3 linked regions of the Yarrowia lipolytica genome follow. The protein of the gene in region 3 interacts with the protein of the main gene of each other region in a pairwise test. Links are inferred from orthologs where the notes say so. Each region holds a gene or a part of one and is shown on either strand. Other genes may lie near its edges.

Evidence for each region. The genes of interacting proteins can lie anywhere in the genome.
Region 1: the proteins of YALI1_D25370g (region 3) and YALI1_D13679g interact in binary tests that used the Schizosaccharomyces pombe proteins (3 or more experiments, as listed by UniProt). The link is inferred for Yarrowia lipolytica from reciprocal best matches to the Schizosaccharomyces pombe genes cdc5 and cwf12.
Region 2: the proteins of YALI1_D25370g (region 3) and YALI1_E40144g interact in binary tests that used the Schizosaccharomyces pombe proteins (3 or more experiments, as listed by UniProt). The link is inferred for Yarrowia lipolytica from reciprocal best matches to the Schizosaccharomyces pombe genes cdc5 and cwf5.

The regions. Positions count from the first base shown.
Region 1 is NC_090773.1:1,366,688-1,369,305, forward strand, and holds YALI1_D13679g (uncharacterized protein), read right to left. Parts: upstream 1,269-2,618; coding exon 606-1,268; downstream 1-605. Other genes in the region: YALI1_D13611g (uncharacterized protein), read left to right, coding at 1-132; YALI1_D13686g (uncharacterized protein), read left to right, coding at 1,978-2,618.
Region 2 is NC_090774.1:4,013,460-4,016,050, forward strand, and holds YALI1_E40144g (uncharacterized protein), read left to right. Parts: upstream 1-915; coding exon 916-1,986; downstream 1,987-2,591. Other genes in the region: YALI1_E40097g (uncharacterized protein), read left to right, coding at 1-679; YALI1_E40161g (uncharacterized protein), read right to left, coding at 2,137-2,591.
Region 3 is NC_090773.1:2,536,129-2,539,821, forward strand, and holds YALI1_D25370g (uncharacterized protein), read left to right. Parts: upstream 1-893; coding exon 894-3,053; downstream 3,054-3,693. UniProt on the Schizosaccharomyces pombe protein: Involved in mRNA splicing and cell cycle control.

The DNA.
Region 1 (2,618 bases), about 1.2 Mb from region 3:
GAGGCGGAGAGGCGAGACAGTGCGGAGCCCGAAACTGAGATAGAGTCGTCCGAGGAACCCGATTCTCCCACCCCCCGGCGACCAGGTACGGCTTCGTCCCAATCTTCCAGATACACAAATGATGAAGAGTAAAACTACACGATTACATAAACAATGCATGATTGACTAATGAGAGAAATGTTTCCATGGATATATGAAGTTGCAGTCGATGTAATCATGGAGATAGTTACAGTTCGAGTAGAGTACGTACAAGTACCTATACATACTTGTAGCCGAAGATAAAAAAATCTTGACATTTTGTATTGGGGAAGGGTATGTCATGAGTCCAGCACCCAAGTACATACAGTACTCGTAGATGAATGGCTTGTTTCTTACTTCAACTTGTTTCATAAACAGGGCTGATAGCCTGCTGGATAGGTTAAAAAGTTGCAGTTGTACTCGCAGTACAAGTACACTACTTACTTGTAGGTCATACTAATGTTACTAATGTTATGGTAATAAATATTGGCTATATAATTTACAATGTACAGTATGTATAACACGAACGTCCCCAGAGCGCGGGATACAGGATGTACAGCGATAGCGACAGATCTTGCGCTATCAGTCTAGTCTAGCAGAGCCTGCACACGTCGTTTCCTTTCCTCCAGTAATCGTGCTTCCAAATCTCCCTCCTCGGGAACAGTGATATCTCCGACAACGAAACCACTATCTTCGTCTGGTTTTCCAGCAAGCATATCCTGTAATTCAGATTCTCTCTGTTTCTCAAACTCCATCAGCCCCGTGACATTATCATCGGCGTAGCCAAAGTACACCATATTGAGGTTCTTTGGAGGGATGTAAAAGTCACCGGATTTCTTGGTATCGTCCTTCTTTTGCGACTGCAGCATTTCGGACACGCCTGGAAGCTCTCTAGCTCGTCCGTAGTATTGGTAACCTCGCTTCTTTCCTCCAAACGAGGCGTAATTGGGCCCTCCTAGACTTCGGATCTGCAGGTCCCATCGATGCCGTTCGCTCATCAGCTTGTTGATTTCGTCATTGAGGTCTCTGAGCTGGAAGTCAGACAGCGCCGGGTCCTGGATCTTGGTCACCTTTCTGGAAATCTCCTTCATGACCTGAGATCTCCATTTCTCAGCCTGGGGGAGACTCTCCACTCCAGAGATGTATGTTGGGCGAACTGTGCGGCCAACGTCCAGCAAGCCAGCAGCATTGGCTTGTTGCTGCTGGAACCGATGCAACATGCTGCCCTGCTTTTCCGAGTTCCGCGACATTGATGGCGGCCTTTTGTGTGTATGGTGGGGGAGCTGGTCAATGCCATAAATTTACTTGACCGGCCTTAGATTCAATGTTCAACACCCTGCTCTTTTCCTGCACAGTGGGCAAATATGCATGGTGATGACGTATGCGAGCTCACGTGCTGGGGCGAGTGTGGGTGGAAAACAGACTGTTTGAGATGGGAAAATTGAGCAGAAATTTGCCAGATTCAGTTTAAATGCCCTCTTGACTCCATTTATTTTTTCAATACGGGTTTCAGACCTTTGAAAAGCGGCCTGTTATCCCCTCCATGTTGCCTTTTCCATTCGTCTCCAACTTACCCTCTCGAACTCTATCGACATTCCTCAAAATCATATAAATGTCCTTGGCCCCAAAAACAAACCCTTCGCCCTACCCCTTACCACGACATTTCAAGGTATGTGATCATGAAGAGAAGGAACAACCGAGGAAACAGAGAGAGAGCGGAGGCACCAGCACACCAAAACACGTCGCAAACACACGGCTTGTCGCACCACTTGTCCGATTTACTAACGCAGGTTTTTTTTTTTCAAGCGCACCGTCGTTGTCGTTGAAGACTTTTTTGCCGTGGGACTGATTTCATTCGTTTGTTTAAGGTTACACACGTGACTTCAACTCTAAAAGGAACCCCACCGGTTTTAGCGTTTATTTATTGGGAGCTGTGCAGGATTCGAACACACAACCACAATGTCTCACTTTGGCGATCACGTGGGCATCGACCCTGCGATTATGAAGCAGTACAGTGAGCACCACAATGGCAGCCACGATAATGACGACAAGGACAAGGAGGACAAGGAGAAACAAAACACCGAGGCCGTGGCTGCCGCCGCTGTCCAGCTGGACGCTTCGCTCCTAGCTTCTGGCATTCTGGACGACTTTGAAAAGGCCAAAAAGGAAGAGGAGGAGGCCAACGGAAACAACAATGCATCCAACGACCAGCAGAACGCTAGCGACCGCCACGTGGGCGACATGCTGGAGCAGCACAGCCAACAGCATCAGCAGAGCCAAGAGCACGATACCAGCTACATCAACACTTATATTGAAGACAAGGTTCCTCTGACTTCGGTGTTGATTCCCGGTGACCGACGTGTTTCCGATCGAGAGGCTTCTGACCGTATTGCTGCCACTACCCGACGTGTGCGGCTTCGGTGGACCCAGGAGGAGACTGCCGATCTCATGGAGGGCTGCAAGGTGCACGGGGTGGGCAACTGGAAGAAGATTCTGACTGACCCCCGTTTCCGATTCAACAACCGAACTGCAGTTGATCTGAAGGACCGGTTCCGAACCTGTTTCCCCGAAGACTACCGACGTCTGTACCCCAACGCCCG
Region 2 (2,591 bases), on a different chromosome or scaffold from region 3:
GCAGCTGTCTCATGACCGTGAGATTGAACGTTTGAAGCTGGAGATCGAGAGCGAGAGACAGCGGCGTCTTGATTCCGAGAACGAGCTGGCCCGTGGACGACGTCGGGAGACCGAGCGGCATGCGGAGTCTCGTCACGACTCTTATCGAGACTCTTATCGAGACTACGAGCCTCATAGACGACGAGAGTCTGGCGACAACGTTCGAGTCAACATCAACATTGGCTCCGACAGTGGTTACGGAGGCAAGGACCCTGCCCTGGTGTCTCTTGCTCGTCAGAAGATCGAGATGTTTCTGGCCAACGAGCGGTATCGTAGGTGTGCCGGGTCCATGACGGGAGCTGCACATGATGACGAGTACAACCGGCTGCAACTCTATCTAGTTGACTCGATGGGTGTCGAGCATGCTCGCAGGATTCTTACCATGTTGACCCGTCAGCTCGGTCAGCCCGTCACTGCTCTGCCCAATGAGATTGACAAGCTCGTTGGCAACAAGGAGGTGCTCAGAAAGTCACTCGAGTTCATTGACGACGTGGTTCGGTACTCTAACAACGATCCTGATGGCCCTGGAATTCGAGCAGAGCCTGGATCTATTCAGTGGTCTTCCAACCTCAACAGTGAAATGAGTCATCTGAAGCGTACATTGTACAAGTCGCACACCGGGAGGAGATTGAGGTATTGATGTGGAGGAAGCTCTTTAATTTATATTCATTATTATGTCATACCATGTGTTATTTGTAGTTGTAATGTAGAAGTACTGTAGTTGCCCAATTACTGCTTTGTTCAGTGCTGTGCTTCCTCCCCACTATCTACTAACCCTAAACCTGAATATCGATATCAGGATGCAGACAGAAATATCAAAGTTTGTAGTTTAGGAAATATTTGACGGTGAATTCACCATCATCATCACACATCCCCATGCAAACGACCAAGTCAGACACCAACAAAATCACGTGGGAGGACACTGAGGTGCCTGCAGTGTGCACCCAGTGTCTTGGTGCCAACCCCTACATTCGAATGACTAAAGAAAAGTACGGTGCCGAGTGCAAAATGTGTACAAGACCTTTCACAGTGTTCCGGTGGCAACCAGAACGTGCACAAAAAGGCTCTTCTCGAGGAAAGCCGCTGAAGACGAACGTTTGTCTTACTTGTTCGCGACAGAAGAACTGTTGCCAGTCGTGTTCTCTCGATCTCACATATGGACTGCCGTTGGCTATTCGAGATGCAGCTTTGAAAATGGAGCAGGAGGGAGGCGGCGGGGGACTCTCTCTGAGCTCATCTTCCAACACCATCACCAAGCAGTTTATTGCTCAAAACTACGAGGAGCAACTGAAGCAGGATCAACGACTTCTTACGGACAACTCAGTCACTGGTACAGGCAAGGCTCAGAGTGCAGCCAAGGGACTGTTGAAGCAGCTGGCTAACGCCATGCCGTACAGAAAAGAGCTTTATGAAAAGGGCCAGAAGGATAAACGGCCTGCTGACAGCCGCGACAGTAAGGCTCTGACGGCCGATGTCACCAAAATTGCATCCAAGCTTCCTCTGACGGGCAGTACAACACCTGTGCCCAAGGACGCCTCTATCAAGAGCTTGTTTTTCATGGGTGTAGAGGACGATCTTCCAGAGCACGTGATCAGAAAGCATTTCACGGAGACTGGAGGAACCATCTCTTTGTTGACGGTTGTACATCGGGCTCATTGTGGGTATGTGGTGTTTGAGACTCGAGCTGCTGCAGAGAAAGCTGCTGCTGCCATAAGTGGAGGACGACTAGTCCTGAACGGCTGTCGTCTTCGTGTTGCATGGGGTAAGCCTCGAAACCTGGGATCGTCCTCAGACGAGCAGTGGAAGCTCGGCCAGATGATCAAAAAGTATCTTCGAAGTAAGGGCGGAAGTTCTAACAAGGACGGAGCTGCTGGGCGAGATGAAGCTGCGCCCCCTCCTCCTGGTCAGGGTATCAAGTACCAGAGTCAGGGCAACATTGAGTTGTAGGGCTGGTTAATGACTACTTGTACTCACTATGTAATTATTATTTATTCAACCACACAGTTAATTGTTCTTCATTGTATAAAATAGTTAGTGTACATGGTGTTTATGATTGTATCTTGTCTATCTGGTATGATACCAACATTGACCTTCTGCTTAACCGTAAGTGTCGTCAAACTCCTCCTCGCTGTCAGGCTCGATCTCGGCCTTGGCTGCCAGATCCTTTCGACACATGGGGCAGGTGGCATTCAGCTTGAGCCATGGAGCGATGCATTCCAGATCAAAGTGGTGCTTTCTGTTGCATGGAAGTCGCACTACCAGTGGAAACTCATCCTCCAGGTACGGCGTGGAACAGATGGCGCATGAGTCTGACTCCTTGAGCTGCTTCTTGGGGACACGATCCAGGGTGTCAAGATACTCCTGACCCAGCCCCTTGGGCTTGGGGGCTTCACCTGTCTGGAGATCCAGTCCGTCGATGAACTGGACGAAGAAGTCGATGATTTCGTTCCTGTCTAGCTGGCGGATCGCCCGCTCGAAAGCAGGAACGTATTCTGGGCCGGGGTTAGTGTCCGACACTCCAGCCCTCCGATCTCGATCTCTTTCGACATTCA
Region 3 (3,693 bases):
AATGGGTATGCCTGAAATATGCATGATAAAGTGCGACCAGTGCGGATACAAGAATACATTAAAAGGGGGAAATTGCAGAGCTACGTGATCTGCTGCTGTATTATCGGCTTCACCGGTACGACAAGTCAGGGGGTATGTGTTTTAATAAGACCCAAACGTTTTATCGTCTTCTTCTGTGGCATATTCCTGACATTACACATTGGTCAATATAATGATACATGCAGAGCACATACAGTAACATCAGACACACGCGCGCCTTATACAAGTATGTACAGGACGAGGGTACGATACAACAGCTTCCCAGGATTCAGCACATGTTTCTGTTATCATACACGCTTCATAGTGTCTCAAAATGTCTGCAATCTGCGTTTGTATCCTCTTCCCTCTTCAGCTCATTTCAAACAAACACTGTGCGAGTTTACCTCTCGAAACGCGTCATTTGTCAAAGTTCAGACAGACCGTGTGATGGAGATGGAGGAGAGCCACCAGGAAACTGACATTTCTTACTCCCTCTGAGATGATTGGAAGGCTCGATTGATGTAGAGTTTTGTGGACCAACTGCGAGGGACAGCTCATTTCGCGTAGAAGATGCTGTATGTTCAGATATTTATGTTGGAGAATGATTGGGTCTACATAATTCACAGCAGTTCTTTTTAGAAAATTCTAATGATTTTTCACATATCTTTAATTTTTTTTTAATATATCTTTATTCTAATGGTTTTTTTTTTATATACTGTAATATTATATATTTCTTTTCCAGCACTCTACAAGCTCATATATTTGGTCAGTTCGATTCCCGTCTGAATCATTTTGATAAACTCTAGTTACCAAATATTCTGCATGAGCTCACCTCCGAACTTTCTCACCACTATCATCACACACACGAAAACATCATGGCGTACGTCAAAGGAGGAGTTTGGACAAACGTCGAGGACGAAATCCTGCGGGCTGCCATCTCCAAATATGGTCTGAACCAATGGGCGCGAGTGTCGTCTCTACTGGCTCGAAAAACAGCCAAACAGTGCAAGGCTCGGTGGACCGAGTGGCTTGATCCGACCATCAAGAAAATCGAGTGGTCGCGAGAGGAGGACGAGAAGCTGCTGCATCTGGCCAAGATCTTTCCTGCACAATGGCGAACGATTGCCCCGTTTGTGGGGCGAACTGCACACCAGTGCATTCAGCGATACGAGCGTTTGTTAGCTGAAGTTGCTGGCGAGGTGGAGGGCGAAGACGCTTCTGCGGTGGCATCTGCACCCGCCACTGAAGGTGACCAGTTTCCCGAAACCAAGCCTGCCCGGCCTGACGCCGTGGACATGGACGAAGACGAGAAGGAAATGCTGAGTGAAGCGCGAGCTCGTTTGGCCAACACTCAGGGTAAGAAGGCGAAAAGAAAGGATCGAGAACGGATGCTAGAGGACTCGCGACGGCTCAGTCAGCTTCAGAAGCGACGAGAGCTCAAAAATGCAGGAATCGACACTCGACTGAGTAAAAGGAAGAAGAATGAGATGGACTACAACGCCGATATTCCCTTTGAACACAAACCGGCCCGTGGCTTTTACTCAACTGCCGAGGAGGAGCATGAAAACGACTCGGAGCGTCTTCAACACAAACAAATGCACCGCACAGCTGCGGACGCACCTGGGCCGTCACAAAAGCGAGACAAGGCAACTTTGTCCAAGGAGGATGAGGAGAAGAAAAAGGAGCAGCAAAAGACGGCGTCTGCTCAGCGAACACTTCAACTGGCACAGTTGGACTTGCAAGATCAGATTTCCAAGCGACGAAAACTGAATCTTCCTGAGCCACAGATCCAGGATCAGGAAATGGAGGAGATTGTGAAGCTGGGAGCTCAGGGTGAAGCTCTACATAAGCGGTATGCAGACGGAGTGGCGTCAAGCTTGTCGGGTGATTACGATGACAAGATTGTGGACGACTCCATTCGAACTCCTCAAGTTCAGCAGTCGAAAGTAAAGACTACAATCGAGGAGATCAAGGCCATGGAGAACCGGTCTGTGCTTGGTAAGAGAACCGAGGAAGAGGTCGACGACGAAGCTGAAGCTGATAAAGATGGATTTGCAATCCCCAAGCTGCCTTCTAACAAGGCTGTCACTAGTGTTTCTGCTGGATCCGATATAGGAGGAGCTACTCCTGCTGGGATGACTCCTATCAAGCGGGACGCTCTGGGTTTGGTTGGATCTGTCGAAGCTACTCCTGTTTCTATTCTGCGCCAGAAACTGGCCTCTCTTCCTAAGCCCAAGAACGATTTCGAAATCACTGCGGAGGACGAAGAGGAAGATGAGGAAGCTGATAAGGAAAAGAAGCCTACAGATAACTTGCCAGTTGATAAGGGCGAACAAGCTCGATTGAAAAGAATTGCCGAGGAGCAGGAGCGACAAGAAGCTCTCAAGACTCGTTCTCAGACTCTTCAGAGAGGTCTTCCCCGGGCTACTGTTCCTGAAGTTACTTACAATGATGCTATCGGTCAAGAAGTAGTTGCTCTTCTCAGAGAGGAGGAGCTTAGGTTTCCCAATAAAGGCGATTCTGTGGCTCTAATGCAGTCTGAGTTCTCTCTCGACGACTTAGTGGATGCCGAAACTTTGATTGAGATGGAACTGATGGAGGGCGATGAGCAAGAAGTGCAGGAGGAGGATATTAAGACGGCTGCTCTTCCTGGAACAGTTGCTCGTTCCGACGAGTCCGAGGAGGAGTTCAAGACCCGTGTGGAAATCATATCCGACCAGCTTGTTGAAACGCTAACTTCTCTTGCGGAAACTTGCCAGACCGAAGAGACTGCTCTGGTGGACAAGTTTAAGGCGTATGCCAAGCGCCAGGCTACTTTATCTAAAAAGCTGACTTCTCGGTGGTCTCAACTTGAGTCTGTTGAGGTCGAGATTGCCGTGTTTTCCGAGTTAGCCCGCATGGAGGAGATTGCCATTGAGCAGCGAAGCGCGGCTCTGCAGGAGGAGGTTGACTGGCTCGTCAAGAAGGAACGTGCCGCGCAGGATAAATACCGTGAGTTGAAGGTTAAGGAGCAGGCCGCCAAGGGTGGCCATTAGGAGTCGATTAGTTAAGTAATTATTTATTGTGCATTTTGAACAGCTGATGGAGCAACAGGGCTGGTGAAGGCCTCTGCTCCGGGGTGCTCCTGCGCTCGGGTAGATACAGCACAAGTAGGTGGATCCTTCCGGAAGTGGCGATCCGGGTCGTTTAGTACTTTTTAGTGGGGAAGTGGAGAAGTTCTAAGCGAATACGTTTGTATACTTATTGACTATATGAATGGTGGAATGAGGAACGATTGCGGCAGCAGATGATGCACTTGTGATCTATTAAGACGTCAATCCTCCCCCTACGTGTGTGCTATCAGGCTACTGTTCATTTGGCCCCCAGTCAAAGTGCGCCAGAGGTTGGGCTCGACGACTATCATCGCTAGTACATACTTGACGTCTACATTTCTAATCCTATCTCTGGTCTAAAAAGATTTTCCGACAGTCGATTTATAATACAAGAGCTACGAGTATGTATATAACTACGTATATACTCGTGTAGAAGCGGACCGGAGGCGGGGACTCAACGTACTAATTTGGACTGACGAAGTTGGAGAAGCTGTCGTTGAGGAGTGAGACGTTGCGCAAGGCTGCAGATACTTGAGAGCATGTCATTATATAAGACTCCACAGTATCTTCTTGGCTCTCGTAT